Mytilus edulis: one gene and its partners. The protein of the gene in region 2 purifies or fractionates together with the protein of the main gene of each other region. This does not show direct contact. Links are inferred from orthologs where the notes say so. Each region holds a gene or a part of one and is shown on either strand. Other genes may lie near its edges. The genes, in order: neurochondrin-like, 116 kDa U5 small nuclear ribonucleoprotein component-like, ruvB-like 2 and protein ecdysoneless homolog.

Evidence for each region.
Region 1: the proteins of 116 kDa U5 small nuclear ribonucleoprotein component-like (region 2) and neurochondrin-like purify together in Homo sapiens (affinity purification with mass spectrometry; 4 studies listed by BioGRID and IntAct, with this or other methods). This does not show direct contact. The link is inferred for Mytilus edulis from reciprocal best matches to the Homo sapiens genes EFTUD2 and NCDN.
Region 3: the proteins of 116 kDa U5 small nuclear ribonucleoprotein component-like (region 2) and ruvB-like 2 purify together in Homo sapiens (affinity purification with mass spectrometry; 5 studies listed by BioGRID and IntAct, with this or other methods). This does not show direct contact. The link is inferred for Mytilus edulis from reciprocal best matches to the Homo sapiens genes EFTUD2 and RUVBL2.
Region 4: the proteins of 116 kDa U5 small nuclear ribonucleoprotein component-like (region 2) and protein ecdysoneless homolog purify together in Homo sapiens (affinity purification with mass spectrometry; 5 studies listed by BioGRID and IntAct, with this or other methods). This does not show direct contact. The link is inferred for Mytilus edulis from reciprocal best matches to the Homo sapiens genes EFTUD2 and ECD.

Annotation. Positions count from the first base shown.
Region 1 is NC_092348.1:64,191,205-64,199,088, forward strand, and holds the start of neurochondrin-like, read right to left. Parts: upstream 3,433-7,884; 5' UTR 3,320-3,432; intron 244-3,319; 5' UTR 229-243; coding exon 136-228; intron 1-135. UniProt on the Homo sapiens protein: Probably involved in signal transduction in the nervous system, via increasing cell surface localization of GRM5/mGluR5 and positively regulating its signaling. Required for the spatial learning process.
Region 2 is NC_092345.1:82,432,518-82,441,290, forward strand, and holds the start of 116 kDa U5 small nuclear ribonucleoprotein component-like, read right to left. Parts: upstream 3,667-8,773; 5' UTR 3,520-3,666; intron 1-3,519. Other genes in the region: nuclease EXOG, mitochondrial-like, read left to right, coding at 3,730-3,826, 7,861-8,022, 8,654-8,773. UniProt on the Homo sapiens protein: Required for pre-mRNA splicing as component of the spliceosome, including pre-catalytic, catalytic and post-catalytic spliceosomal complexes. Component of the U5 snRNP and the U4/U6-U5 tri-snRNP complex, a building block of the spliceosome.
Region 3 is NC_092350.1:44,666,416-44,674,387, forward strand, and holds the start of ruvB-like 2, read left to right. Parts: upstream 1-4,460; 5' UTR 4,461-4,546; coding exon 4,547-4,555; intron 4,556-6,404; coding exon 6,405-6,459; intron 6,460-7,621; coding exon 7,622-7,746; intron 7,747-7,972. UniProt on the Homo sapiens protein: Possesses single-stranded DNA-stimulated ATPase and ATP-dependent DNA helicase (5' to 3') activity; hexamerization is thought to be critical for ATP hydrolysis and adjacent subunits in the ring-like structure contribute to the ATPase activity.
Region 4 is NC_092352.1:35,102,443-35,111,133, forward strand, and holds the start of protein ecdysoneless homolog, read left to right. Parts: upstream 1-5,344; 5' UTR 5,345-5,374; coding exon 5,375-5,576; intron 5,577-8,613; coding exon 8,614-8,691. Other genes in the region: ragulator complex protein LAMTOR2-like, read right to left, coding at 650-812, 5,113-5,180. UniProt on the Homo sapiens protein: Regulator of p53/TP53 stability and function. Inhibits MDM2-mediated degradation of p53/TP53 possibly by cooperating in part with TXNIP. May be involved transcriptional regulation. In vitro has intrinsic transactivation activity enhanced by EP300.

The DNA of each region.
Region 1 (7,884 bases), on a different chromosome or scaffold from region 2:
AACGCCCAAAGATGAATGATAAAAGATTAATATAAAGTAATGGCAATACATGTACAAATGCACCTGAGTAGCTTATAAATTTAATACATAAAGCACTGTGAGATAAAAGTATATAACATGTATGAAAAAACTTACCAGAAGCAAGGCTGCAAATTTTTCATTATCTGTCTTAGAATTTTCAAGTACAGTAAATGTTTTTCTTATGTTTTTATCTTCAGATGTTCCCATGCTATGAATAGTATCCTGTAAAAAAAGATGTGATAAGTAGTTTATAATTTGTATCCACCTCCATACAATACTGTTTTTCAGACTCGGTAGGGGCCACAAGAATGCCAACTATAGAGACATTTGGTGTGCCATTGTACTTAATTGTGACTGAAGCAATGTTGTCTGAATGTCTGTCAAATTTACAGCATAAAGATAGTTGTCTTGACTTAAAAAATTCGTCTCTTCATACCCTTGTCAATTATCTAAAGAAATGTCTAGTGCTTCTAGACCAGAAGAGGCAGTTGCATTTTATTTTCATAGAATAAATCAAGTTTTTTTCACACATTTTACAATGTGTCATTAATTTTCACCCAGGACTGAGGTTTAACTTTACTTTTACTTACACAGATTTTGTGCCGAGTGTGCTCCATCAAGAAACTGAAAATGTTCAGGACATACAAAAATCTCATCTGAAGTTTTGTACTATTTGTTAATAAGGCCAAATAAAAATATATGTGTGGTTCCAGTTACCTACTTTTAAAAAGTAGGGTCGGTAGGTAGGCAATTTTTTAAAAATTTTATTTAGATTTTTATTTTTGATTGTCAAAATCTGGAAAAATCGTGTGTTTACCGAAATTGATTCTGGTATTATACACGCCCCTACCGGAAGTTCACCATTTTTACATTGTTTGGTTGTAAAATAAACAGTCATGTTATGTTTTTAGTTGATTTGATTTAGTTGCATTCTGTTATGAATTGTTTATTTTAACCATAACAGATACTTCTGATTGAAATCCAGATGACAGTAATCTATGATTTTAATTATTTGAATTTACAATCCTTAAGATTTAATCGTTTGAAAATTTATTTTTCAGATATGAAAAAAAAAGTTCTAGGGTCGGTCGAGTAACTGGAACCACACATATATTTTTTTTGGCCTAAACACCAGTTTAATATTTTCATTTGTGGAGAAAGTTGCAGATGAGTTTTAATGCCAAAAAATGCCTTGTCATTAGAATATCACCAAAAAATCGACCAGTGATACAAACATCGTACCATCTACAGGGTCATACTCTAGACACAGAGGAAGCAAGTAAATATCTTTGAGTAACCATCAGCAACAACCTAACATGGGATAAACACATACATGTAGATAATACAGTAGGCAAAGGAAACAGAACGTTGGGATTTATACATAGAAACCTCAAAGGCTGTACAAAACCTTTAAAGGCAGCTGCATATGTATTCATGGTAAGACCTGCAGTGGAATATGCAAGCACAGTATGGGACCCAACCGCCCAAAATAAAATAAAGGCAGTTGAACAGGTACAGAAAAGAGCTGCACGATTTGTGAATAACAACTACACAGACCAAACACCTGGCTGTGTCACAAATATGGTCAAAAATCTAAAGACGTGGGAAAGCCTCGAAGAACGGAGGAAAACAAACAGATTATGCATGCTATTCAAGATCCAGCATGATCTTATAGATATAGACCGTCACCAATATTTGACCCCGAATGATAACCGGACCAGAGGTAAAAACCACTTCTTCCAAGAAAGAACAAGTACAGACACCTACGGCCAATCTTCCCGAGGACAATCAGGGACTGGAACAACCTACCAACAACAGTTACAGCGACCAACACCGTTGAAGGATTCAGAGCTGCCCTGAAGGCATGCTCTGAAAGGAAGTAGGAAAAACCAGTTATAAATAATTTTAATTGTATATTTTTTGTGAATGTTTTAAATGTAATTTGTAAATAGCCAAGAGAAATCTTTCTGTGTTGCCTGACACTGCGTAAAGTTTTCGCGCAGAACCATTAACATTCAGCATTGAATGCCGTTCCTTACCTGGAAGAAGAAAAAGAAGTTGGAGTGAAAAAAAAAACTGTCCTTTGAAGGGAAACTTAGAATTATGGTTAACATCTAAAACCCTTGAGACATACAGGGGTAGACCTCACAACTCCAGCGTTTACTTGCTAGTGATGCAGCAGTTGAACTTCTTTGACCAATCAGACGCGAGGCCACTCAAGAACATTGTGAAAAATTTACTGTTGAAAGTGAAAGTAGTAATCATTACCAAAGTGAAAGTGGGTAGAAATAAAAAAAATCGGCATATATTCAGGACTTAAATTATATTCTCTGGGTATTTAAGGTGGTATGGGTGTCTTCCTCCATCTTGGATTGTAAAAAATAGAGAATCAAAGGTCCAGATTTTCCATCAAGTTAGCAAAATTTGATGCAGGAATGCAGATGTTTAATGTATATTTTCATTTAAAAGTACCAATTTATAAGAATATAACTTCTAAATATTGATATTTTTGCAAATGTTAATTATTTTTGGTTGTTTTTATTTTTTTTTTTAAATTGGCATTTTAAGGGGAGGTAACTCTAAAAAAGTGCATTTTCTGAAGGATTCTGTATGGAATTTTCCTATTTTGTATTTTAGCCGGAAAAAACGTACGGTGACCCTATCTTTTCTTTTGATATTCTCAAAGCAGTGTCTGAAAGCTATCTTTTCCTGAAGTTTTTAACAATTCTATCATTTTGTTTAGTTTCTAATCATATAATGGTGTTTTTTCCTGTATAATCCATACAAAATGTGTCATTTTGTCCCGTCCTGTAGCTTGAGAAAATGCACGGTGACCTATCATTTTTATTATATTTTTCAACATGTATCAATAGATACAACGTTTTGGCAAAGTATGAACAAATTCTATCATTTTTATTTTAGACTCCCATACCACCTTAAGGGGCCCAAGCTCTGAACAGAGTCAGAGAAAACATTAATGCGTTTTGCTAGAACATGCATTAAAAAAATAATGGGCTCTTCATTGTTTCACATTACATGTATGTAACAGTTGTAATTTTTAACAGCCAATTTGTTTTATGCAAGAAATTCAGTTTCAACAACGGTAAAAATAATTGGGATTTGTGATTTGAGATCAAAATGTAAGCTTATAACTTGATATGTTGCAAAAAAATATGTGCTTTTCTGGGAGTTGATCTATTTTATGAAGCTTAAGGGTCACGATAAATTAAATATTTTACACATGCTATAGACTGTAAAAATTCACGAAAAAATGCATCAACCTGATAATGTATTTTACCTGCAGAGAAATGTAATAAACTTACTGCTCTAAAAAATATAATTTTTAAAAGTCGTCTTCTGTTCGAATTTAAAACGGAAGTTGCATGCGGTATGATAAATTTCGAAACGAGGACGGTACGATTCAGATATATATCCGAACATTTTGTTTAGTCTGAGAGGGCTGAATACTTATTGTTCTCTGCCCCCAGAGTTTTATTATATACAAGGACGTAAATTAGTTATACGTCCTTGTTATATACTAGTTATTTTTGTGTAATTAGTTACCAAATCATAAATTCATTATTATCATAAAGCAAAAAAAAAGAGAGTTGAATAGGAAATAGACTGAAAAAGTTTAAGAAGATAAAAAAAATGATTTTATTGAGTCGCCAATCTACAGAAAAACTAGACTGGTTTCCGATCGCAATATTAAGTGTGTTACACATATACCAATATATTGAAAACAAAATGGACACAACAGATTCAATTTTAGGATACTGTGAATTCAGAAATTATTTCATGCATTTATTATTGCGATTTTGTCATTTTAGACTATTACGCAATTTTTATTTTTGCATCATTGAGAAAAGTCCTGTTTGATTCTCATACAAAAAATCAAAATGCGAATAGAAATTTTTGGGATTATAACCCTGTCGCATTTTTCGCAATAATAAAAACATCGCAATAATTTCTGAATTTACAGTATATATAATAACAGCTATAGTAGGCTGTCAAATGAAAACAATAATTAAATTATCTCATTAATAGTCACAAATTCAAGAATTTTTCAATGATTGATTGCACATATTAAATAATGAATGCATTTTGAACTCTTTCTTGTCATCAAATAAGCATTGAGGTTAAAAACAAAATGTTAGCAAATCAACAAATTATTATGAAAAGTGACAAAAAATTCTTTTTGGTAAAAATTCCTCAAACCTAATTTATCTACCCGTAATTTCAATATCGTGAGAGAGTATGCTAAAAGCTAATACCTGGAACGTAGTACCGGGAACCAGGATACAGAAAAACTGACTTGCTTATACTTTAACTCTTTCATTTAAAATATGTTAAGTGTCTGTGATGACAACACTACTAACTCCAAACGTACCTTGAGTTTCCTTAAGATAAAAAAAACTTAGTGAACTGTCACAGATTGTAGGTATTCCTATGGGCACCAAGTGTGCCCCTTTAATAACAGGCTTGTTCCTTTAATGTTATAAAGCACAGTATATGGATAAGCTCAGTAAATATTTCATCAATTCTTACCGTTATTTTGATGATATATTTCGTTAAATAATCAAGAATAATCAATGATTCTCACACTATACGACTGAAATTTACCAAAAGGAACCTAGTTTAGATAAATTCAATATCAACAGCAATACCTGGCCTTTCCTAGATTAAGACTTTCAATATTACACCAGATACTATACTACAAAATTCACGACAAAAGGGATGATTTTCCGCTTTCCCTGTTGTTCATTTTCCATCTTTGGACGGCAATGTTTCTTTGGCCAATCTTACTGTGTTTATATATCCCAACTCGTTCGCTATGTTCGTGTCTGTAGTGACGTTTTGGATTACAATGAGCGTAATCTATGTATTACAAGTAAATTATTAAGTCCGAGATTTCGTTACCACAAATTACTTTAAACCTTTACTAAATTTTTCATAGGTACAAATATTTGGTCTTCAAGTTTGGCTGAACCTGTAAAAAACTTATTTCAAACAGAATAGCATATCCAAAATTTTACGGTGATATCGTAAACCAAGCCCAGAAATTTAGATAAGATCCGGGTAAACGTTTTAATCCTTTAGAAAAACTTATTCAAAATGGAAACATATGCAACACTGAAATTAAATCTTTGAATATCGTTTTTATTGGTTATCAATAAATCAAAACCATACTGAATGTTACACATATATATATAATATATGCACCTTCACGGTACTTCAATCTGTCGAAATTTAAAGTTTGGCATTGCACACGGTCGTGTGTTCCTTTGACTGTTAATGACGCCTTACACTAATCAATTGATTTTTGTATGTGTTCTGATCGACATTTAAGTCCGAGATACATGATTTTCACGTTTGTTGTTATTGGCTTCGAACTAGCTGTCAGTAACTACGACTTACTCTCAGATCTTTACTTAGTGTCATTGTGTTATTGGGATGTACAAGTACCCAGCCACCACTACAGTAATGTATTTTTGTTAGATGTATTTCTATTTGTATGAGGGGGGGGGGGCAAGGGGTTTAACTGTTATGCTGTTATGGGGCAATTTTATTCTTTGTTATCTGTTAATTTGAAAATATATTTGCTGTTAGCTGTTATTGTCTTATTCATTGTTAGCTGTTATTGGGCTTTTAGTTTTTTTGTTATCTGTTATTGTGATAATGTATTTGCTGTTAACTGTTATTGAAAATTGGAATGTTAACATTTTTTTGAGAGCCAATTTCCGTAGAAATTGAAGATCATTGGACATTGGGGTCTACCACTAGTAATATGTTGGTCACGTATTCGGAGAAGGATTCCATTAACATATACCCATTACAGAAGTGAGGTCAAGGACAATTACAGTATATCTTATGATTATCCTTTGTAATAAATTCCATTTTTGTTGGAACATGTATTTAGTATTATCTTATTTTTTGGTATGAGGATAAATTTCCTTGTTTCCCGTACCAACATATTAAATCAGAACAATTTTTAATATGACAAAAAGGAAAACATATATGGCCAGGAATATCTGACAAGAATCTCAATTAAGGACTAGGTCCTTACAACCAGTTAACCTTTTATATAATATGGTACATTGACTCAGCTTTGATTTTTTTCAAAGCAGAACGAAACACACATTATTTTTAAAAAACAGTTGTTGGCATGACACGGGTTATGTTCTTCTCACATATGTTATGATGGTATGCTACTAAACCCCTAACGGGAAGGATTGTGCCTGATGTTCATATTATGAAATCATAATCTTTCAGTCAGTTTAATTGAAGTCTGGAGCTGGCATGTCAGTTAACTGCTAGTAGTCTGTTGTTATTTATGTATTATTGTCATTTTGTTTATTTTCTTTGGTTACATCTTCTGACATCAGACTCGGATTTCTCTTGAACTGAATTTTAATGTGCGTATTGTTATGCGTTTACTTTACTACATTGGTTAGAGGTATAGGGGGAGGGTTGAGATCTCACAAACATGTTTAACCCCGCCGCATTTTTGCGCCTGTCCCAAGTCAGGAGCCTCTGGCCTTTGTTAGTCTTGTATTATTTTAAGTTTAGTTTCTTGTGTACAATTTGGAAATTAGTATGGCGTTCATTATCACTGGACTAGTATATATTTGTTTAGGGGCCAGCTGAAGGACGCCTCCGGGTGCGGGAATTTCTCGCTACATTGAAGACCTGTTGGTGACCCTCTGCTGTTGTTTTTTATTTGGTCGGGTTGTTGTCTCTTTGACACATTCCCCATTTCCATTCTCAATTTTACATTGTACGATGAAAGTTCCAACCATGTACTGGGTCCCGAAGCAGCACATAGCTCATTACAAACAAAGATTTATTTCGTCTTCAAGCCATTGCTCCCCTACTAAACTATGTATTCTACTTACTAGTACACTTAGTCCAATCAATAGCCTGATAAAAAATTGTTCAAATTGAGCCTTTGAAAATAATGGAATAAATTACTTTTGGAGTGTTAAAATTGGTTCGATGTACTTGATAAATTGCATGCTTATAATTGGTGCTTTTGATTTTTCAACCCTATATACTGAACACTTTGCCTCATAGTCTTATGAAGAAAAATTCACACACCTCATTAAATGGGCATTTAGAAAAAGTCAGAATGCGAATATATATATTCAAACTCTTTTAGGTCATTTTTAGTATCAACAAACACAAGAACTATGTGAATTGAATACCATAACAGCCCTTGAATTTTTACTAGATATCATTTTTGTCTCTTTGACATATTCCTCATTTCCATTCTCAATTTTATTACACACTATTTAAATTACAAGCATGTGTGAGTTTCTATAACTGTATAAAAATAAATGCTGAAAAAAAGTATTCTATGACAAATAAACAGCTACGCCATGAGCGCATGATACGCCCGTCGCCCTTTTTGAAATATTCGATAACTTCTATATGTCATATCAGATATTTATAAAAATTGAAAGGGAGCTTCAGTCAATATATATAAACTATACACCAAAGTTTCATGCGAACTGCTGAAAACATTTTTGACCGAAAACTGGAAAATACCACCCTTTTTAATAAATAAAACCCCTTCACTCAATAACATAAAATCTAAAATTAATGAAAATAGAAAGAGCGCTTACAGCAATAGCTATAAACAATTCAGCAAAGTTTCATAAGAACTGCTGAAAACGTTTTTGTGTTAATGTCCGAAAACTGGAAAATTCCCCCTTTTTAATTAACAAAACCCCTTAACTCGGAAACGTAAAATCTAAAATTTATAAAAATTGAAAGGGAGCTCATGTCAATAGATAGTAACAATTCACCAAAATTCCTAGCAAATTTGTGAAAGGATTTTTGAGATATTATCAGAAAACTGAA
Region 2 (8,773 bases):
TAATTATCAGGGAACTCAAAATCGTTAACTCATTTTTCGTCACTTTTTTTAATTCCCGCATCTGCACAGAAATCCACAATGTACTTCCTTTTTCCATTTGTTTTCCGGTCTCGTTTGCATGAAACTTTGAGTAAAATATATATTTATCAGTCTAGTATAAAATAGGAAGGAATGCAATACCAATTTCATTTTTAATAATTCTTTGATATGAAAAAACGTTACCTGATCATATAGCCTTTCTTTGTTTACATTGCATATGACATCCTAAGTTAAAGAACGTCACAACTAAAATCCCTAACAACAGAACCAAAATCAGAAACGTTACAGTATTTCTGTTTTGAAATTAAAATATGTTTGAATTAAAAAAAAATTTAATTCATACAGACAGACAGTCCCCTTTCACAGGTAATGATTATGCCTGCCTCATATTATGATAAATGATTCTAAGATGCATTTTTGTGTAGTTAAAAAGAAGTTCTTATAAAATAGGAGCACTGTATACTGTTGAAGACCATGTAGACCTGGAGATATGTGGGCATCTAACTGGATTAGTTAGGAAAGATCTCCTTAAGCTCAATAGGTTAGAGCAATTCTTTGAAATCCCTGACATACTGTTGGTACCATCCATAGATTTTCACAATATTGGCATTGCGAGCATCTACTAGTGTGCACAACTGTATGTAAGTGTCTGGCAGTTTGATATGGTTATTATGTTTGACAGGTCATTGGATGACTGATACATGTCTGACTGACATGCAGGGAACTGATCAGAGGGTTTCAGAGTGACTGCTGAGTTGTACAGTAACGGACCTGTGAGGTCAAATGGATGATGTGCAGCCAAAAAAAGAAAAGAGGGAAGGGTGTTGTAGACCTGGAGTTATAACGGCGTCTAACTCAGTGTTCTCCCCAGAAATTTTGGATAGCATCACATTTTGCGTAAAAAAAAATAACTGTATTTTTTTTTAATGCAGTGTTCTAGGATTTTTTTGGCACCTTGACTTACCACGGGTAAGATCAATAAAAAAATTACTTACCCACATCTAAAAGTTAAATCCGCCAACCAATGCAGACAGCGCCGTCCGCTGCGGCGAGCTAAAGCTCGTCGCCCTTATGGCCGGGGGTCTGGGGGCCGCTCAAAAAACTTTTATGACATGCTTTAAATTATATGTTGTGAAGTTTGTCTGAACAAAGCTGGATTCGGATACGATTGAATTTTATACAAAATTTAAAAAAAACGATTTCTTACTAAATTTGACAAATATGTTATAGTTATTACTATGTCATTTATTAAGAGCTATAATAAATGCAACTGTAAGTTTATTTTCCTCCGATGACAAGAAAAAAAAATCGTTTATGTCCCGATTTAAGCACCAGTTATCAATCCGGATTTTCCGATTTTACCGACACCGTGACCGACTTTTAGAATGATAGGAGAAGAATGTGGTCTCTTTTGCGCTTGATTACACCTAGTAAACGAGTGCTTGAATAAAAGCGCCGATAGACATCGACAAAATCTTCGATCTTTTATCAAAGTTTTTTCTCGTGATTTAATAAAAATAAAAAGCAGATATGGGAAAATTGAAGAGGACCTGGAAATTTCAAGAGTTTTTCGGCTTCCCCGAACTTGAAAATTGACTTACCACCGGGTGACAAAGGCTAAAAAATGACTTACCCGTTGTCCTAATCCACTTACCCCGGGTAACGGGTAATGGGAATCCTAGAACACTGTAATGTCATTTGTCGCGTCGCGTTGATGCTCTATTTCCTTTATATGTTTTAGTTTATATTGTTCAATTCATAACTAAGAATTCAATTAAACTATAACAACAAAAACAGTTGTTTCAGTTTATGTTTTCTTTATTCATTTATAGTTACAGAATTATTTTTTTCCTCTTGTGCCAAATAAAAATAAATATGTGCTTTCAGTTACCCAACACATAAGTCAAATGAATGAATAGTTCATTATAGTGCAACCTGTATATATACAAAACTAAATATCTATTACACAAAATGAACTATTTTTTTATATTATATTAAGTAAAGATAAAGTAGCAAAAGTAGTAAAAAAAAATATCAATTTAAAAACCTTTTTTTATCATGTTTATGAAATTCATTGTTCCATGGCACTCAATGAATTAGTCCCTGTTGTTTCTTATCTTTACATCAAAATGATATGTATTTTTAACAAAGTTATCTAACAAATAGTCTATTAATGCGTAGTTTTCTCTATTGGTATATTTTTTCTGTCTACTGTCCGTCTGTTGTCATTATTGTGAAAATGCGGATTTTTTCATATCTGGTCCGGTTCCGATCTGTAGTATACACAAAAATGTGCTATGGCGGCCGTAGAAAAATTTACGAAAATGAGTCCGAGAATAAACATTGTTTGACAAGAGATTGTGAATGAATAAGACGCTTTTAATGCATTAAATGCATTAAACATAAACTAAAGCCAATTATGATAACTTTTTAAAGAAGTATAAAACTTATTTTAGCTCAAAACCAAAATTCTCGCTCTTGTATTACAGGAAGAGAAAGAAAGTATATTTTGGAGAGTTGCAAATATAAACGACCTTTTAAAAAAAATTCGTTTTAATCTTTGAAATTTTGTAATACAAAACATAGATTTCGAATTGTTTTTGTGATTGCATTTTTCCATGTCGAAGTTGGTGATGGCAGACACGTGGTATAAGTCATGTCACGAGTGTCAGCTTGGGATATTGGCATCCAAACATTTATCACCCTGAGGGCAATTAACACCTGGCTATTTAATCCCTTAATTGCCTTTAGTGTCCGATTTAAAGGGATTACAATTAAAGGTGATGTAATTTTTATGATAATAATCGATAATAGATGAAAGTTCAAAATTGAGGACAAATAAAATAGCATCTTCAAAATAATTATAGCGTCGCGGGAATTATTATAGCATCACGGTGCAAAAATATAGCGTCACGGTACCGCGACGCTAAAACGGCCTGGGGAGAACACTGTAACTGGTTAAGTTCATAGACTTTTTTAAAGCTGCCTTAGGAATAAGGTTTTTGAATCCAGTTGGTTCAATATTATACTTTCTGTCTAATAGTAATAAGCTTCCAATCTTAGGGTTCGAAAAGAGTAACGAAAGTATCATTAGGACATGACAGCTACGGTTCCTCAACTACTTTGACAGGTAACTCAGAGTGAGTGAGGGAAAATAATACCTATGACTGTATGATACTGTAACAAGATCTTTGAGTGGAAAGAAATATTGCATACAGATTTCTCTTAATGTTGGACAGAAGGTTAAATCGTGCGCAAGATGTTCATCCTTCCAGTGGCACAGAGGACATGTTACATTTATTTTGTATTCACTATGTTAAAATTTGTGCTTAATATGAATAATTTTTTTCACAACAGTAGTGATTTTTTTTAGTACAAATGATAACAAAGCAAAAGTAGGGACCCAATCTGATTACGGTGGTCACAGAAAGGCACATTAACCGGCACTCTGTTAAATAATTGAGTTGCGTAATGGTATACCTGATCAGTGTAAGATAAAAGTACTGGAATCAATAGATAAAACAATATTTCAAAAATACATGTGGGACGCCGACACCGGAAGTGTACAAATAACGTTTGGCCTTCGGATTTCTCTAGACTTCAGCTTGTATTAAAACGAAACTGTCCGAGAGTGTTTTTTTCTAAATTCTTTATCAATTACGGACGAAGCAATCAGCTTTGAATACGGAAATGTCACAATTTATGAAAGGAATAATCACAGGCACATTCACAACACTTGCAGCAATTGGCTCTTATCGAATTTTATTTGAAAATGATAACCAAGAAAGTAATGAATTTAAAAAACAAAGATAAAGAATTATTTGAGTTTTTTGCAGTGGTATAAAAATATTAGGGTAAAAGTTTCTATAAAATTTTTGTTGAACACATGAGTCTACACTTACAGTTATACTGTCTTCTATACATGAGGGTAGTAATTCCCTTTATCGTTAGGCATCAAATGGTCATTTTCAGTTGCTGCAAGGATTTGTATAGTCTTACTATACAAATCCTTGGTTGCTGTGAGCGTTAAAATTAAATTGGTAAAAATTTTACAGTGATTCATCAAAATATCTTTATCTTCCTCAATCTTTACAGTGATTCGTCAAAATATCCTTATCTTCCTCAATCTTTATTCATCAGAGGTCCCAAATAATTATCGTCACTGTCTTTTTTGTGAATAGTATAATGTGATTCATCAATATCAGTCGATTTTTTTATCATCTAAAAGAAAGTATACAGTTAATTAACATCATGCACAAAAAATTACCATTAACGTTATTTGGCAACAATTTTACCATTATTTGTCATTAAAGAACCCCCATTACCACCCTCCTATATCTAATAATAATCATGATAATACTGGCATACAAAGTTATTAAAGGTTGTTTTTTTTTTATATGAAAGCTATTGTCACTACCATATAAATCTTCAATTCTCAGCTTTTTATACGACCGCAAATTTTGAAAAAATTTTCGTCGTATATTGCTATCACGTTGGCGTCGGCGTCGTCGTCGTCGTCGTCGTCGTCGGCGTCGTCGTCGTCGTCGTCGTCGTCGTCGTCGTCGTCCGGCGTCCGGCGTCCGAATACTTTTAGTTTTCGCACTCTAACTTTAGTAAAAGTGAATGGAAATCTATGAAATTTTAACACAAGGTTTATGACCACAAAAGGAAGGTTGGTATTGATTTTGGGAGTTTTGGTCCCAACATTTTAGGAATTAGGGGCCAAAAAGGGCCCAAATAAGCATTTTCTTGGTTTTCGCACTATAACTTTAGTTTAAGTTAATAGAAATCTATGAAATTTTGACACAAGGTTTATGACCACAAAAGAACGGTTGGGATTGATTTTGGGAGTTTTGGTCTCAACAGTTTAGGAATTAGGGGCCAAAAAAGGGCCCAAATAAGCATTATTCTTGGTTTTCGCACAATAACATTAGTTTAAGTAAATAGAAATCAATGAAATTTAAACACAATGTTAATGACTACAAAAGGAAGGTTGGTCTTGATTTTGGGAGTTTAGGTCCCAACAGTTTAGGAATTAGGGGCCAAAAAGGGACCCAAATAAGCATTTTTCTTGGTTTTCGCACCATAACGTTAGTATAAGTAAATAGAAATCTATGAAATTTAAACACAAGGTTTATGACCATAAAAGGAAGGTTGGGTTTGATTTTGGGAGTTTTGGTCCCAACAGAATAAGGGGCCCAAAGGGTCCAAAATTAAACTTTGTTTGATTTCATCAAAATTGAATAATTGGGGTTCTTTGATATGCCGAATCTAACTGTCATGACTGTGTATGTAGATTCTTAACTTTTGGTCTGTTTTCAAATTGGTCTACATTAAGGTCCAAAGGGTCCAAAATTAAACTTAGTTTGATTTTGACAAAAAATCAATCAGTTAGGTTCTTTGATATGCTGAATCTAAAAATGTACTTAGATTCTTGATTATTGGCCCAGTTTTCAAGTTGGTCCAAATCGGGGTCCAAAATTAAACTTTGTTTGATTCATCAAAAATTGAATAAATGGGGTTCTTTGATATACCAAATCTAACTGTGTATGTAGATTCTTCATTTTTGGTACTGTTTTCAAATTGGTCTACACTAAAGTCCAAAGGGTCCAAAATTAAACTTAGTCTGATTTTAACAAAAATTGAAATCTTGGGGTTCTTTGATATGCTGAATCCAAAAATGTACTTAGATTTTTTATTATGGGCCCAGTTTTCAAGTTGGTCCAAATCAGGATCTAAAATTATTATATTAAGTATTGTGCAATAGCAAGTCTTTTCAATTGCACAGTATTGCGCAATGGCAAGAAATATCTAATTGCACAATATTGTGAAATAGCAAATTTTTTTTTAATTAGAGTTATCTTTCTTTGTCCAGAATAGTAAGCAAGAAATATCTAATTGCAAAATATTGTGCAATAGCAAGATTTTTTTTTAATTGGAGTTATCTTTCTTTGTCCAGAATCAACTTAAATCTTTGTTATATACAATATACAATGTATATTCACTTTTTACTACCAACTGATGAATTAAAATAATCTTTACCATTCAGTGATAACAAGCAGTTTTTTTACATCTTATTTCCTTATCTTATCTAAAATGTTTTTAGATTATGTATGTTGGACATTTGCCAGACATGACTATGATGTCATTTTCTATTTTTATTTGCCCATTACTTTATGTAAATAACTTCATTGGAAATTTGCCAATATAAAATGTTGCTGATGAAGTTTTTTTTATTGTTTTATACAATAAACAATGTATATTCACTTTTACTACCAACCAATCTTTACCATTCAGTGATAATAAGCACTTTATTTTACATTTTAATATTTTATGATGTATTTAAAAGAGTAGTTATTGTTGCAAACTCCATTAGAAATTTGAATTGATATCAGTTTTGGAAAAAAGGAAACGGGGATGTGAAAAAGGGGGGGGGGTTAAATTTTTCTCATTTCAGATTTCATAAATAAAAAGAAAATTTCTTCAAACATTTTTTTGAGAGGATTAATATTCAACAGCATAGTGAATTGCTAAAAGGCAAAAACAAACTTTTAAGTTCATTAGACCACATTCATTCTGTGTCAGAAACCAATGCTGTTCCAACTATTTAATTTTAGATTTAAAAAGTTTGAAGAAGAAATCTTTAATTGTAAAATTTGTAAAATCTTGACATTTGTTTTGTGTAAAAAAACCCCATGTAATGTCAAAAATTTGATCACAATCCAAATTCAGAGCTGTATCACGCTAGAATGTTTTGTCCATACTTGCCCCAACTGTTCAGGGTTCGACCTCTGCGGTCGTATAAAGCTGCGCCCTGCGGAGCACCTGGTTTGTAAATAATATGTAAATAAGTTTGTGCAAATATAATTGTCTATATTTAAGCCTTACTGATAGTAATGTTTCAGTGAGAAAAGAAGAAGATGTGGTATTATTGTTAATGAGATAGGTACAACTATCCACCAAGAAAACAAAATGACAACAAATTTGATGAGTGTTTTCTTGAACTTACAAATGTATGTCCATCAGATTTATATGGAATCATCAGTCTACACCTATAGCTATACCACTCTTTTGAAGAAAACTTACAGATCTGATGAGTCAAATCTTTTACACAACTAATTTTGATAGTTTATATGTTTTGCTGTTAAACCATTATCCCAAGCTTTTGAGAAAGTTTAGTGCTCACAAACTTGTCCTGAGTGCAGAGCCTGTACTAGTTCATTGGTTGTTGTTGGTTTGTCTGTCTTTTTATTTGTTTGTTTTTTGTTTGTTATTTATTATAAAAAATAATATTTTCAATTGGTTTTCTCTTTTGAATTGTACAACATTTTGTCATGCATAGACATTTTATAACTTTACTATATGAAGGCTCTACAGTCCCCTTTTTCGTTTACATCCCTGTTGATTACTCTCAGTCAACTAGTTTTACTTCTTTTTATATTCACTGTAACATCTGAGAACATTAAAATCTTATATGAGATTTTCAGTAAAGCAGTGTTAGAGAACCCATTTATTACATCACTATTTAATAGATTTCTAATATGTAGAAAGTTAATCTAAATTGGGTAGTATGAAATCATTGATAAAAAATATATCTATGGTAGTAATTTTTTTGTACTTGACCAAAAATGTAATTTATATTGTACATTTTCAGAAATAGAATTAAAATAATAAATCAAGAGGAAATTATCTGAGTTATTTCCCCTTATGAAAAAAAGTATAACTGCTTCTTGAAATGAAAAATTAAAATCTATTGCATTTTATATGAACTGAACAGACAAGATGATCAATTTGGCCAGCAACCCTTTTTTTTAATTGTAGGTTTATCATCAAAGACCAGGGCAAGTGAGACTATTCTCAAGTATGGCATACCAGATCGTGGGCCAGATATAAGGGTTTATGATAATCACATCTTATCATATGATCAGGCAAAGAAAACACCTGTTTGGGTTGCTGAGTATATCACCAAGAGAAATATTGATGGTAATAATTAACATTATGTGAGCCTTATAATTCAAAATGTCTGTAACCTTGGTGACATGAATAATCAAATTGAATTTGTATTAAGAGATCATTTTCTGGTCATAATGTATACACACACTTTTTCCTCCTATTGTTCCATAATTATTTTTTTTGAATAATTGCAGTTTTTAAGAATTTCTATTCCCCTGCAATTTTTGAGAAATTTTATAATTTTGTCAGTCTTGAATAAATAGTATTTTTTTTATTTAAAAGATGATCTGCACTTATTGATTTTATTTATTTAAAAATGACACCAGTAGTTAATCTTTTACTACTATACAGAGTAAGGTTATGATACCATTTGAATTCATAACATGCATAATGAAGAGAGATTTTATAGTGGTTTTGTTTTTCATTTGTTTGTTTGGTTTGGTTTTCATTGCAGTTTAAACATTCAAGGTCTTACAGTCATTTCATAATAAATCCTCTATCTCAAAACTAAATGAAACTCAGAAATCATTTAAGTGATTGTGGGATGTTCTTCAATGAGACAACAACTCAATGAAACATAAAAAAACAACACATATAAAGATACATCTTTTAAATGTCACTTAACAGTATTAGAAATAAGTTAAGTGCTCTATGATTTCAGGACCGGCAGACAGAAGAAAAATCAAATTTAAATCTGATCCAAATGTTCAAACTGAGTTCAGTGCTGAGAACTCTGATTACCTAGGAAGTGGATGGTCTAGGGGTCATATGGCCCCAGCTG
Region 3 (7,972 bases), on a different chromosome or scaffold from region 2:
TAATTTGATAATACCACACTGTGGAGAGGTTAAAAAACCCTATATATGTCTACAAGAGAGAGACCAGATTTATTAAATAAAGGCAGAATTTTGTAATCTCCTTTAATTGTTTCAATGTTTCATCAAATTTCCTTGCTTAATCACTTCTAAAAATCTAAAAATTAAACAATTGATTAAATAATTTTTTTTAGAAGTTATGAGTTATCTCCCATTTTGACATTCAAAAGTCCAAATATATAGAAATCAGATTGATATAGAATTTATACAAATAAATATTTTTGCAAATTTGAAATTGAATTGTTAGTGAGTCATTTCATTATTAGTCCAAACAGTTTATTTATTTTGCAATTGTCAAGTTTGACTATAAATGTACTATATATAAATTTTGTATGCATTAGATTTTGCACTAAAAGTGAAACAAATTTATTTTATTAGATGTAAAATGAGTGTTGTATACATTCTAAACAGTTTGATGCCTCATTTGCTAGATTGTATATGTTCATTATGCTAAAACTTTAATGTCTTGGTGTAATGTTTTATGGTTAAATGTGCTGTTCACATTTAAAATTGAGCCATTTAGATATGTCAATTTAATACTGTTGGCTGTTTGTATATAGACTTTGCCTAAATTGATATAGATCTTTGTTCTTTGATCAGCACTGGGTTTTTTTTTTACTTTACATATCAGAAGTCATAATTTGCTTGAAATTTTGGCTTGAAACTACAAGCAAATTTTTCTGTTTTTAAAATTGATAAAAAATTCACTTGATTTAGGCTCAGTGTGTGCTTTCTACCTGAAATCTCAGGAAAGATACCTACCAGGTCAATCATTCATCATTATATAAACTTGTAATTTGGCTTGATTCAAAACACTTGGCTATTTCATGTTGAATACTGTAAAAGTTTTGTTTTTTTTGTGTTGTATTTGATCTTTGTTGTTTTGTGGCTACAAATACATTAACCATTGTACCTATATAATATATATCATTAAAAATAAATTAGTGTTGTAATGTTTAAAAACCATGAAATAATAAACCTGTGAACATGCTGAGAGAATTCAAAACCAAAAAAATTACCATGTTTTAAAGTTTTTTGATTTGAATCTTGGGTATATGAGTATTTGGAGTATGAGGTTTTTAAACAAAAAAATTTATGTCTGTTAATTGATATGCCTATGTATGGATGATTCAAAGTTGTAAATGAATGATTCAAATTTATAATTGAATTCATGATTCAAGTTTGTAAATAAATGATTCAAATTCGTAAATGAATGATTCAAATTTAAAAAATGAAATTCTTGATATATTTTATATTTATAATTTATTATTTTGTTATTTATATTTATTATTATATTATTTTGTATGTACACAATAATGGATACATCATGCAGTGCTTTTGATTCATTTTAGCACATTAAAGAAATTCTGCAAAACTTTGTTTTTTTATATGAAAAAGGAATTTCTTTGCCTTTTTAGCATTTTAAGTTTAATTTGAGGAAATTACTTATTATAAGTATTTGGTAAACAGGAAGTTGATGAGTGAGGGATGTAAAGAGCATTACACATAAAAGGTTGATTCCATATTTCTGAAAGCCTTGACTGTCACAAAAAATGTATTCATGTTCATAATATGTCTAAATACATTTGTACAAGTATTTGGTAAACAGGAAGTTGATGAGTGAGGGATGTAAAGAGCATTACACATAAAAGGTTGATTCCATATTTCTGAAAGCCTTGACTGTCACAAAAAATGTATTCATGTTCATAATATGTCTAAATACAAGTAATCAGTAAATTGTGGTATATGAGTGATGAATCTGAAAGTGCATCACACAGTCAAGCATGCCGATGTGGAGCTTGATATCAAATTTCAGAAGCTCAAAATTTAAGTTCCTGAGAAAAATTTGATCAAAATGTTATTAAACTATGGACATATGTTAACCAGTACACCCATTTCTTTTGTAGCAGGTGTAAAATATAAATTATATAGTCACCCTAAAAAGAGTACAAGTATGAATAGATGAATATATTTTAATAAATCAGTTATTGTTTTTGAAAAACCTATCCTTTCTCAATTTTAACAAAAACAAAAACAAAGCAAGAATTTCTGAATTTACATTATATCAGAAACATTTGTGGAAAACATACATCAATGAGACAGCAACCCAACAGTGTATGTTAATCAATATTTTAAATTGATGCCAAAAGTCCTTCATACAGTCATCATTCTCTACATGAAAGAAAACCATAACAAAAACTTGATAACACCGCTACATTGACAACTACACTTAAGTAAACTGCATATTTTAATGACAATAAATGTTGTTATCAATGTAGCAGTATTTTATTTTTTGCTCACCTGGCCAAAAGGGCCAAGTGGGCTTTTCACTTGGCATCCGTCATCGTCTGTCATTAACTTTTTTCACAAATCTTCTCTGAAACTACAGGACCAAAGGAGTAGGGGCAAAAATTACTGCAAATTTTAAAAATTTCATACATATTCTTAAATAACTTAAAACTTTACTAAGGTTCAAGTTATCCAGAAAAACAAAACAAGTTTGACATTGAATGAGTTACCATGGCAACAAATTATGACATAATTTGCAAATTTTGTAAAATTTTCATGGTTTTCCTTGTTTTTCATCAAATTTTAAGTATATGTTAGATTTAAAAAGTATGTGCACACCCAAGAAACAACTTTATATTTGGGGAGATTATATCAACAGTTATAATAATGCTTCTGTTAAATTATTTTGTTGTTTCTTGGCTGAGCACGCTGTTTCCACAACAGAAATAATGATAGAAAACTGCATAAATTCTGGATTTTTCACCATTATTGTGGAAACAGTACATATTTTGACGTAATTGTGATGTCATCAGTTAAAAATCTTTGTTTTTCATTTATATTTTTTTATCCTATGCATTTCTAAACATTATGTGCCAATTTGAAAAAGATATCAAACATTTTATTTTCTTGGGCTAAAACCAGGCATTAATGCCCCTACTCCTTTAAGTAAAACTTGGCCACAATAATCATTGGGGTATCTATTTTAAAAAGAGTTCTGATGACCCAGCCAACTAACCAAGATGGCCACCATGGCTAAAAATAGAACATAGGGGTAAAATGTAGATTTTGGCTTATATCTCTGAAACCAAAGCATTTAGATCAAATCTGAAATGGGGTTTATCAGGTCAACATTTGTCTACCCTCAAATTTTCAGACAAATCTGAAACTTAACGGTTGCATTATTTCATGCATCAATTGTAAATAAAAATATCAGGTGAACGACATGATATCATATGATATCCATTTAAAGGAACTATAAACACAAAACATAGGAGGCATTAGTTCAGCAGCTCTTTATTTCTTTATTTATTAAAAAGTAAAGAATAACAGAGTATTCAGGTCATAGCCATGATGCAGAATAAAGATTCAGAAGCTAAGTATTAATTACTCCTTAAAATTAATGTTGGACATTATAAAAAAAAACCTCAGTAAAGTTTTGAATTTATCATTTTAATTGTGTATCTATTATGTCTGATCAGAGATGAGAGGTTATGTCATACCTGTAGGAATTGGTAAAAACTGATGACCAAACATACATATCTGTTAACTAAAGATTTGTTAATGAATTTAGCTCCTAATCATAACCAAATTGCACTAGTTCTGTCTTTTGCAGGATTTTGAGATTTCATCACAATACAAACCAAAAGCCTTCCTATTCCAAAAATTTCCCAGTTCATTGAGGCATAAATATATATATATTAAAATCACTTGAAAGGTCAACAACAACAATTCAAGATAACAGGAAAATATTAAGAAAAAAAATAGGAAGTGTAAGAAATGCATGTCATTTCTTGTATATTTGTATTAATTTTGCCCCACTGATAAACATGAAAAAAATAATTCAGATTTAAAGAAAACTAAAAAATACTGATATATTAAAAAGAAAGGGGGGGGTGCTTAAAAAAATGTTCTATTCCCAAGTACCTTAGCAAAAACTTAAAACAGTGGGCTGACCTTTTCAGTCATTAGATCTGTTTTTAACACTTATTTGGCTGAACAATTACTGAGAATATAGTTTCTATTTTATTTATCATATTTTTTCTCAGTTTTTTTTAAAGTTAGCAAAAATTGCAACAATATAAGACAGAATTAAGCCTAGTCAATTTCTTGAAATGGTAATAAACTTTACTTTGCATCCTAAAAACCTTGTCATGAATTTGAACAACAACATGCAGGAACCTTTTTTTTTTCTTCAAGTCAATAAAATTTATTAATTTTAATTTTCAAAACAATTTTTAATTTTAAAAGAGAATCAATCATATTATATTTCAAACCACATGCACATGTTTCTGTAAAAATCGCTTAATACCTTTTTATAACAGATATAAAGTTAACAATAATTAGAGACATGTGCCTGTGGGAAACCATAGAGATTGTGACACTGTTTTGTGTTTCACGTTTTTACATGTCCGTTTCCAGAATATTCTTGTCGACTCAGAAGATTATTGTACTTAGATAGAGGGCGCTACAAACACCGGCAATGGCAGTCGTAAGTCGCATTTTCTTCTTTTTCGTGATAAATCAACTCCTTTAGACTGTAATCAAAACATGATTATTCAAAGAAAGCATTATGAAACTTCAAAGCTAGACTCCTAGACATATATTGACCTCTAAAGTTTATTTGGGTTCCCAATCTGTGAGGTGACGGCCCCCACGTGTTTGTTGTCAACAAAAACAAAAAGCGAAAAGTGAAAGAAAACAAATATAATTTGCACAAGTAGTTACCTGTTACTTGATGAGAGGCAATTTCGAAGATAACTTAAAACAAATGTCTTATAGGATATCTGTCATCCAAAATTGCGAACTAAATTTCAGATGAACTTTCCAACAAAATATAAAAAAATAAAAATTTTCAGAAATTTAAAAATGCATCAATTCCATTAGCTGCGGAACCGTAGCTCTTAGGTCCTTATACTATTTTTTGACTATTTGCAGACCATAGAGCTTATGATTATAAACAATACATTTTTGGGAAATAAGTGCGACCTGAACCTGGGTCGCAATTCCGAACATTTTGAAATAGGAAAAATCCGTAGCTCTATGGTCCACAAATAGTCAAAAAATAGCATAAGGACCGCAGCTGCAATTCCATCATTAGTAAAACTGTCTAATATTAATTATAGTACAAAAACAGTTCTGACGGTACACCTACACAAATAGTGTTAATGATTTAGTCTGAATATGTACCAGCATGAACAATACTCATAATCATGATAATCGCTATACATGTATATAGGTATCAAGTCCATTTGTCCTGATTACATGTTCGCCTTGAATTTGTTCTGCATGTTTTGATTAAAAAAATGTTATTTCACGGTTATTAAAGTTTAATAGGTTTACTCAGATAATTATTTGGTATAAATACTCAAAATTCATGAAAATACATGGAAAGATTTTAAAGTCAGTCTGCACCAAAAACTTTTTCAACTACTAGTCCGAAGACCAATATTCTGACATTTTTCTTATTGGACCAAACAAAGTTTTGCAAAAACTTACTAGTCCGAACCAAATTTTACTAGTCTGGGGCATCGGACTAGTGGCTAACCGTGCAGACTGTTAAAGTTACTGGCTTGTTTTAGAGCAATTTATTGTTTATGGTAATATTAATTCTCATTGATTGTTGTAATAATTACAATACTCATAAAAGTCTTTAATGGAAAAATAATAAAACAACATTTTGTTTTGATAAACTACAGTCAGCATGGAATGATTAAAAAAAACCAATCGTTTACGAATTGTAAAACATGAATAGGATTCATAAGTTCATTGATTTATTACGACTGATGACTAGACTAATTAGAATTGCAAAAATAGTTATGAATAAAATAAATCTGACATACTCTGTTCAAATAATGAACATTTTTTAATTACATGAATTAAACAACAATCCCCAAAAAATAAAAAAAATTAGGGCGAATGGACGCTGGGCGAACAGACCCAGATTCACACTATTCCTCATGATAGACCAGTTCTGGGATATGGTAGTTAGTTGAATCTGTCATATGACTTCCATCACCAAGTGATTAAGATGTAGGCATCATAATTTCAAACAAACGAAAAAGACACAGTACCTCTAAATTGAATAAATTCAAAATATAAAAAATGCTTTGTAAAAAAAATCTTAATTAGTTCCAACTTATTTTTAATAAACTTTAAACTTCTACTGATTCTGTAATCTGCATAGGGATAGATTGATAGATATTCAATTTAATAATAATAAATTGCCTCAAAAACCTTAAACATGTTAAAGAATCTCTTTTTTACTTTATTCTGAAAATTTGAATAACACAAGGCAAGATAAGAAGATATATGTGCATAATATGTTTTGTTTGTTACAGCCATCAGCAGAAACCGTTAAAGAAGTGAGAGAGGTGACAAGGATTGAAAGAATAGGTAAACTTTGTTAACACTTTCCTCTATGGAGATTTTAATTTTACATATAGATCATGCAGCAGTCAGCTTAATTTAGTTTTAACCCTTTCAACGCTATACACGGCATATGCCGCGATGACATACATCGTCCGCCACTGCTATTCGCAGCATATGCCGCGATGACAACGGATTTTTCATAAGGACTCTTAAACCATTCGGTTTTCATTCGGGTCCTCTCTAATTTTTCCTTGTATGAATCGAGGATATGCAAGGTCTCATTGATCTTGAAATCCCGGCAATTTTTATTGTAAAATCATGCAGTAGAAGGAAAATTGAAAGAAAATAAAAACAAATATTTTGACAAATGCAAATGGCAGAAATCGGAAACGAAGCTGTAAATATGGAAATATTTCAGCATTTCTATGGCGAAACTGATGACGAGGATTAGTTAAAAGGTTTCTTGTTATCTCAATGTGTTTATTACATTCAATTCATGTGGGAAATATGATTTGATCGATCATTACGAGACGTAGAAAAAGGGGGGAAAACGGAGGTTGACTGAAAATTTTGAGGACAGAGCCACTGATTTGTGCCATGATTACATAATACGTTGTGTATGGTGCAATACGCTACGGAATTGAGCAATTGGTGTCTTCTTTATTATATGGCAGATAAAAAAAAAATAGATGAAGACAAAAAGTAGTTTTTATTCAAAATTCAACACAAATGTAACAAATTACACCTTTTACCTGTTAATTACCTGAAAATGCAGGTAACCTGATAAAAATTTTACTGAAATAACTGCCTAGCATTACAGTTCATACTCTCCTGAGCATTTTTCATGCAATAACTTTTTCTGTATCTCTTACAATAAAAAAGATACAGCAGTCTGAAAAGGAATATACTGTTCTAATGAATGAACACAAAAAAAAATGCAGCAGCAGCAGCCATTTTTCTATTTTTTTGTGTAGCGTTGAAAGGGTTAAAAAGAATTAAAAGAATTTATATTGTTCAATTTTTCATTGAATAAATTATTTTTTTAACAAAATCAGAAAACATACCATAATAGTACTCATCAGCAGGACCATCCAGGTTTTGGTACTTGGTTATATAGGCCAACTTAGAATATTTGCATATGAAACACTTTTAAAACATGTAGACCTTTAAATTAAATAATTTCTAGGAGCACATTCACACATCAGAGGACTTGGTTTAGATGATGCACTTGAAGCCAGAAATGTTTCCCAGGGAATGGTTGGACAGGTGGATGCCAGAAGAGCTGCTGGTGTTATTTTAGAAATAATCAAGGTAATTTTAGAAAAAGCTTCAGAAGTGAAATAAAATTCTGTTTACATTAGTGTTCATGTGATGAACAGTGCATTATATATGGCTATGTAATTTGGTTTTGTAATCAATATACATCCGTCAAAAAGATTTCAGTTGCCAGCACCATTTCCTGTAATTCATAGTCAAGTGACTGTCATAACCATAGTGTTCTGTTTGTCTTCAAAAGAAAACATGTTAATAAAAATGC
Region 4 (8,691 bases), on a different chromosome or scaffold from region 2:
AAAAGTTGGGGGGGGGGATTTTTTGTTTACCATTTTTTGAAGGGCTTTCTTTTTTTTCAAAGAAGTTTCAAGAAGAAATCTTCAATTGCACAGTATTGTGCAATAGATTTGTTAGATCTTTGACCACATTAATTTTGTGACAAAAACCTATATTATGTCAAAAATTTGATCACAATCCAAATTCAGACGGAATCAAGCTTGAATATTGTGACCAAATTTGCCCCAACTATTCAGGGTTCAACCACTGGGGTCGTATAAAGCTGCGCCCTGCAGAGCACCTGGTTGATAATATATAGTTTCATTTACATCCAAACAAAATGTATTAATGGAGGGCATTCCATAACTGGTAAGCAACCAAATGTTTTTGACACAGGAAATTATTTTGGAATAGCAAATTGTACCTGCATGTACATATTGATTTTCATTGAAATCCTGTTACAAACATAGTTCCTAAAATTTGGTATTGTTATCCAAAATTAAAATTAACTACCAATTTTGACATAAAAGGGATCACAAGGATGTTACAAGATTTAGATTTTCCTATGAATTTACAAAAATAAGACAGGAACCCCTTTTATCCATCCCAGGACCCTTAAAAGTAAATGCTGGTATTGAGTTCTTATCATTGAATGCTTTTTCCTTTTCTTACCTCACATTCCAACAGAACTAATTTTAATTTATCATCATTAAAAGCTGCAGACCCACTCTTCTGATAGGCTGTCCAAATGTTACCAGCTATAGCAGCTGAAACAGCAGCATCTTTGTCACCATAACCAGAATAGGCTAATAAGGCTCCTTCATTGTTCAACAACCTAAAAATAGATCAATTAAAAAAAATCTCTTGTTAAAAAAAAATGAATATAATTACAAGTATCAGCATCAAAATAAAAGTGCATATGCATGTAATATGCAGTCCTTTTACCGGGTAATATCAAAATAAATAGCTATCAAGACATGGACTTTCTATTTAGCCTTAATGTTCTAATTGGGTGAGAGCAACACCTATATCATGTATATATACATACATACTAATCCTGTTCCAGTTTTGACATTTTTATTGACCCTTTTTATAAAACAATACATGATATACATGTAGGAGCATATGGTTTCCTTCAACTTTGTATCTGATTACACCTTAAAACACTTTTTAGAAAATTTGTACTGGTATATACGGTATTATGACCCCTGCGTCAATTTACCATATTAAGGTATTTAGACCTCAAGTTCACTTTACAGAAGGTTCAAAATACCATGTGACACCAGGTCAATTGATCCTGTAAAGTGAGTCAAATTACCAAGATTTAAAAAAATTATAAATCTAATTCATTATATATATATGATAACCCAACTTTGAGATTCCTTGTAGTATAGTTTTTATTGTTATATCACTCTGGTTTCATGGTGAATATAATAATATTGTAACTGATTTAAGAGGTGATCAACAACCATGATATTGACATCAATAACAAAAGATTTGACAGCTTTCATTCACCTTGCACTAATCTTTTAACTTTTATTCACCCTTTACCCCCCTCTTTAGGCTCTTATAAACAAACAAATAATTTTAATTTTATACATTGCATGTTAGTCCGAGATTACTCTGACGTCCAACGGCTGTTTTGCCAGACAAGCTGGGGCCGTGGGACTTGTCTTGCAAAACAGCTGTTGGACATCTGAGTAATCTCGGACTAATAATTTGCATGTATGATCTAGCCTGCTTGCATGTTCTTTTTTTAACCTGTTTAAATGGTTTTTTTCTTCTTCTTTTGTTACAGAAAACCATCCATGTACTGATGTTTACTTTCCAGTGCATGCCTGGTATATGTTTTTTAATAAATTTATGTGAATAATTTTTGTGAAAATATAAATTAACAAAATATTTCTTGTTCAAAGTTGTTTTTGGTCATATATTTTTGTATTTTCAATTTTTACAATTTTTTCTTTGTTTTTAATTTATACAATTTTTTATTTAGTTTTTAAATATTACATTTTTTATTTTTATTTTTTGGTATAAGATAAAAACAAGAGTATCTGTTTATTTCAGATGAGGGTAAGTATCAAGGAGCACGTGTGAGTGCATCCTTAAAGTTTTCTGTAGTAGTGTTTTTGGTAATTTCAGAGGATAGTTTGTGGACAGTCTTTGATGGTTTGACAGAAAAAAGAAAATTTATAGCTGTCTTAATTGCAATGAATTTGTCTGTAGGATTCTTTATTGGTGGATCTTGTAGTAGACTGACTCTGTTGTAATACATTTTGCGATGGAATGGCTATATTTTCATTTACAATTTTGTGGAACATTATAAGCCTTGTTCGTAGTTGGCGTTCTTGTAAGGTTTGCCATTTCATGGTGTCTAGCATCTCAGACACACTGCTGGTGTTGTGATGTCTATTGCACACGTACCTTGCTGCCCATCTTTGTACTTTTTCCAGTGATTTTATATTTTCGTTTGTAAATGTGTCCCATACAGTACAACAGTATTCCAACTTTGGTCTTATGAGTGTTTGGTACGCTCTTTCTTAAATTGTTTGCGATTGGACTTTAAGGTTTCTTCTGATGAAACCTAAGGATTTATTTGCTTTTGCAGCGGTTTGTTGGATGTGGGTGTTCCATTTTAGGTCTGCTGAGATGGTGATACCTAAGTATTTTACATGTTTTACAGATTCTAAGATGTGTCCATACATGTTATAATAAAAGTGGATGGGATTTCTTTTTGTTGTTATATTCATGATGTTACAATTGTCTGGATGGAAAGACATAAGCCAATCTTTTTCCGGATCTCCTGTAGTTGGTGATCGCAATACTGGTATAAAAATTTTGTACCAGTATTGTATTCCAGTATCGGTGCATTACGTTTGCGCGCATTACCATTACATTTGCGCGTAAAAATCATTACGTTTGCGCGCAGCTTTTCATTACAATTGCGCGCATTTATTTGACAGGTAAACTCAGGTAAGCTTAGGCAATAACTCTTATTTATCTATGAATTTATTCAATTATTTTAAGTAAAAGTACCCTTTCCTTTTGACTAAGTCACCTATACTCACCCACGAGGAGGTAGAAGTTGGATACAAGCAGGATAAGTCGGTTGCATTATATTCTATCAATCCGGAAATTTTAATACTCATAGCATACTAATGATTTTCTCCCCCGATTTGCTATTAAAAAAAATTTCAAATGTCCGTTACTTGACAAAACTTTACAATCTAGCTTTCAATAGATTATTTACGAATTTTAAAGAGATCACTATTCGGGGTACTTGATCACCCTGAAAAAATTCGCAATGAAGTTACATGTATGCCTTAAGTTATAACAGAATTTATCATGCACACTTTATATTTTGTCTTAGAATACAATATGAACAATATAAATTATGATTAAAACATCTTTTCAAAGTTAATGAAATTTTATATTATTCATATTTCATCATATACCGTTTTTTACCTGGGTTTACCTGTAAGATAAATGCGCGCAAATGTAATCAAAAGCTGCGCGCAAACGTAAAACATTTTAATCCCCAAATGCGCGCAAACGTAGTGCGCCCTCCAGTATTGTACCAGTATTGTGCTTTTTTTTAAATAAACAATATAGGTAATTAATCTTTTATTAAAGGTGTCACATATATGCATAATGAAATTAACATATGACATGACAATTTTATTAGGAATGATTGTGTTTAGCTGATGATGCCATAGATGGTACACTGTGATTGTCATCAAATAAAGTTTTAAATCTTCTGATGTTTTTTTCTTAACCATTCTGTATCAGCATTTTAACAAACTCTATACTTTCTTCTATGTTTTCTTTCAGCTCTCTCTTTCCAAGATTCATGTAGTATATTTTAGTGAATTTTATATTGACATTAATGCTGTTATAGCTTCTGTATCATCAGCATTGGTATTGTCTATTTCTTCTTCAGATGTGATTTCTGCAACCCCTCCCCCTTCCTATATTGGTATTTAGGTATTCTGTCTCTGTGGACTTTCTCTAACGCTTACTAGATTACAAGCTATTTCAGATAGCATTTGAACAGCTCTCTTACTGTCAGAATGCTGGTCTAGTATTAGTATTTGTACCAGTAGATATACATGTATCTGCTACTAATTGTATTGTCCATGGTTCTGAATCAACTGCTTCAACCCTTAACATTCATGTAGACAAACTAGTTAATTTGATTATAACAAGGTTCCCCTATAAAGCAATTTTTTATAATTAATGAATAATATTGATATCTTTTGTTGTGAAAGATTAATAAGAAAATAAAGACAAACAAATGCATATGATCTTAGTACACAAAAAATGTATACATGTATTAAAATATCTGTCAAAATGTGTGATGGCATACATGTAAATGCTGAATTTACAGTGTTAGAGTCTAATAATTTGCTTGAATTTATTAAATTATTACTCAGATAATAAAAAGCTTTTATTTTATTTTATCTTTATTGAATTAAATAAAATATAGAAATATGATAAAATTATTAGCAATTGTTTAAATAATAATGATGTTATGAGTTAATTTCAATAATCCTTTGTTTATTTGTGCAAGTATAGTAATGACTTTTAACTGGTTGTTAATTGATTTCACAATTATCCTTTATAATCTTTTTGAGTTCATTTAATCTCCCGTTGATCTTCAATATAGTCTAGTCAACAATACAACTACAATACTGGTATATCAGTAATGTACCAGTATTGCTGGTTTTTTTTTATAAAAAGTTACAATACTGGTACAAATTTTTTAGTATTGTGGACAATACTGGTATACCAGTATTGCGATCACCAACTACAGGAGATCCGTAGATTATACTGTCATCTGCAAAGAGTCTGATTTTGCTATGTTGGATGTAATCTGGGAGGTCATTTATGTAAATTAAGAATAGTATTGGTCTTAGCACTGTACCCTGTGGGACTCCTGATGAGACTGGTATTTTTGAAGATGACATGTTTTCTAAAAGTACTGTTTGCGTTCTGTTTGAAAGAAAGGATTCTACCCAGTTAATGATTTGATCTGATAATGATATGCCAAAGTATTTCATTTTGTTTTCATTTATTTTTAGCATACTTTGTATATCATTAAATTCATAAACTTTGATATTAGTTAATATTCTTACAGTGTGCTTTGTACACCACCAGTATTTGCCTGACTCAAAACTTGAGTTAATGCTTTTGGCTTCAACATCTTTCACAAAATAATAGATCACATGATTCGGATCCAAAGCACTTTGTAACATTCTAAATGATTGGCCAATTTATTGAGGTTACGACCTGTGCTGAACTTCCGCAAATTTTGACTGGTACCCTTTGTAGAAATGTGTACAATTGAAAATAAGCTATCGTAGTTAATTATTACAAACCAGTCATCATTGAATTAGCATGGCAGAAAAGAAAGATCGTCTACCCGACGATGCTTCTGAATATTGGCTTTTCCCCTTGGTTGACACATCATTATGTCAAGAGACAAAGCGAAAAATTTTACTTGAATATATTGACACTTATCTTGCGTTTGTTAGTTCAACAATTGTCGACCACATTTGGCAAAAGGAGCAGTTTAATTTGACTGCTGTGACTGAAAAAGGTTACTTTGTTTACTTTTAGATTGCATTTCTGCCTGACTTTGAATCACCAAAAATAAATTGTAACCCTTCTATAAAATTTGCCCAAGATGTGAGGCATTTTCATTATTTTTCAGTCAAGTACTAAGACACAGGAATATCTGAGCTATATTGTCCTGAATGTGCATTAACAGTTAAACATGTGTAATTATATTTGCCACTGGCGATGCAACTCTTTGTAGAAATGTGTACAATTGAAAATAAGCTATCGTTATCGTAGTTAATTATTACAAACCAGTCATTTAATAAGCATGGTAGAAAAGAAAGATTGACTACCCGACAATGCTTCTGAATATTGGCTTTTCCCCTTTGTTGACACATCCTTGGATCCTTGGCTTATGTCAAGAGACAAAGTGAAAATTTTACTTGAATATATTGACACTTATCCTGCTTTTGTTAGTTCAACAATTGTCGACCACATTTGGCAAAAAGAGCAGTTTAATTTGACTGCTGTGACTGAAAAAGGTTACTTTGTTTACTTTTAGATTGCATTTCTGCCTGACTTTGAATCGCCAATAATAAATTGTAACCCTTCTTTATACGACCGCAAAAATTTTAATTTTTTGGTCGTATATTGCTATCACGTTGGCGTCGTCGTCGTCGTCGTCGTCGTCGTCGTCGTCGTCGTCGTCGTCGTCGTCGTCGTCGTCGTCCGAATACTTTTAGTTTTCGCACTCTAACTTTAGTAAAAGTGAATAGAAATCAATGAAATTTTAACACAAGGTTTATGACCACAAAAGGAAGGTTGGGATTGATTTTGGGAGTTTTGGTCCCAACATTTTAGGAATTAGGGGCCAAAAAGGGCCCAAATAAGCATTTTCTTGGTTTTCGCACTATAACTTTAGTTTAAGTGAATAGAAATCTATGAAATTTTGACACAAGTTTTATGACCACAAAAGGAAGGTTGTGATTGATTTTGGGAGTTTTGGTTCCAACAGTTTAGGAATTAAGGGCCAAAATAGGGCCCAAATAAGCATTATTCTTGGTTTTCGCACAATAACTTTAGTATAAGTAAATAGAAATCAATGAAATTTTAACACAAGGTTTATGACCATAAAAGGAAGGTTGGGTTTGATTTTGGGAGTTTTGGTCCTAACAGTTTAGGAATAAGGGGCCCAAAGGGTCCAAAATTGAACTTTGTGTGATTTCATCAAAAATTGAATAATTGGGGTTCTTTGATATGCCGAATCTAACTATGTATGTAGATTCTTAATTTTTGGTCCCGTTTTCAAATTGGTCTACATTAAGGTCCAAAGGGTCCAAAATTAAACTTAGTTTGATTTTAACAAAAATTGAATCCTTGGGGTTCTTTGATATGCTGAATTTAAAAATGTACTTAGATTTTTAATTATTGGCCTAGTTTTCAAGTTGGTCCAAATGGGGGTCCAAAATTAAACTTTGTTTGATTTCATCAAAAATTGAATAAATGGGTTCTTTGATATGCCAAATCTAACTGTGTATGTAGATTCTTAATTTTTGGTCCAGTTTTCAAATTGGTCTACATTAAGGTCCAAAGGGTCCAAAATTAAACTAAGTTTGATTTTAACAAAAATTAAATTCTTGGGCTTATTTGATATGCTTTATCTAAATATGTACTTTGATTTTTGATTATGGGCCCAGTTTTCAAGTTGGTCCAAATCAGGATTCCATATCAAGTATTGTGCAATAGCAAGAAATTTTCAATTGCACAGTATTGCACAATAGCAAGAAATATCTAATTGCACAATATTGTGCAATAGCAATTAATTTTCAATTGGAGTTATCTTTCTTTGTATAGAATAGTAGTTGATAATATATGTTGGAAATTTGCCAGACATGACTATGATGTCATTTTCTATTTTTATTTGCCAATAACTTTATGTAAATAACTTCATTGGAAATTTGCCAATATAAAATGTTGCTGATGAAGCTTTTTTTCCTTATCTTATCTAAAATGTTTTTAGATAATGTATGTTGGACATTTGTCAGACATGACTATGATGTCATTTTCTATTTTAATTTGCCAATAACTTTATGTAAATAACTTCATTGGAAATTTGCCAATATAAAATGTTGCTGATGAAGTTTTTTTTATTGTTTTATACAATAAACAATGTATATTCACTTTTACTACCAACCAATCTTTACCATTCAGTGATAACAAGCACTTTATTTTACATTTTAATATTTTATGATGTATTTAAAAGAGTAGTTATTATTGCAAACTCCATTAGAAATTTGAATTGATATCAGTTTTGGAAAAAGGGAAACGGGGATGTGAAAAAAAGGGGGGGGGGGGTTAAATTTTTCTCATTTCAGATTTCATAAATAAAAAGAAAATTTCTTCAAACATTTTTTTGAGAGGATTAATATTCAACAGCATAGTGAATTGCTAAAAGGCAAAAAAAAACTTTTAAGTTCATTAGACCACATTCATTCTGTGTCAGAAACCTATGCTGTGTCAACCATTTAATTTTAGATTTAAAAAGTTTGAAGAAGAAATCTTTAATTGATTTGTAAAATCTTGACATTTGTTTTGTGTAAAAAAAACTCATGTAATGTCAAAAATTTGATCACAATCCAAATTCAGAGCTGTATCACGCTTGAATGTTTTGTCCATACTTGCCCCAACTGTTCAGGGTTCGACCTCTGCGGTCGTATAAAGCTGCGCCCTGCGGAGCACCTGGTTAAAATTTGCTCAAGATCAGATGTGAAGCATTGTCATTATTGTTCAGTCTTGTACTAAGACACAGGCATGTCTGAGTTATATTGTCCTGAACATGCATTAAACATGTGTAATATTTGCCACTGGACACCAAGGACTACATGTATAGTAAATAACTCTTTTGTTGTTTAGCTAGCTAAGACAACAAAAAGATCCCCAAAATGGTTGAAGAAAGAAAGAAAGGAATTTGCTAAAATTAAAAAGCTTGAGTTGATATTTTTGTTACAAGACAATGAAGTTTAAATTTATAATCATATTTAAACAGGAGATGTGTAACATCTTATCATTATTTCTAGATAATTTACCACCTCACCTGTATGGAAAAACCTGTTATGGTGATAACGTTGAGGATGAATGGCTTATTGTTTACCTAC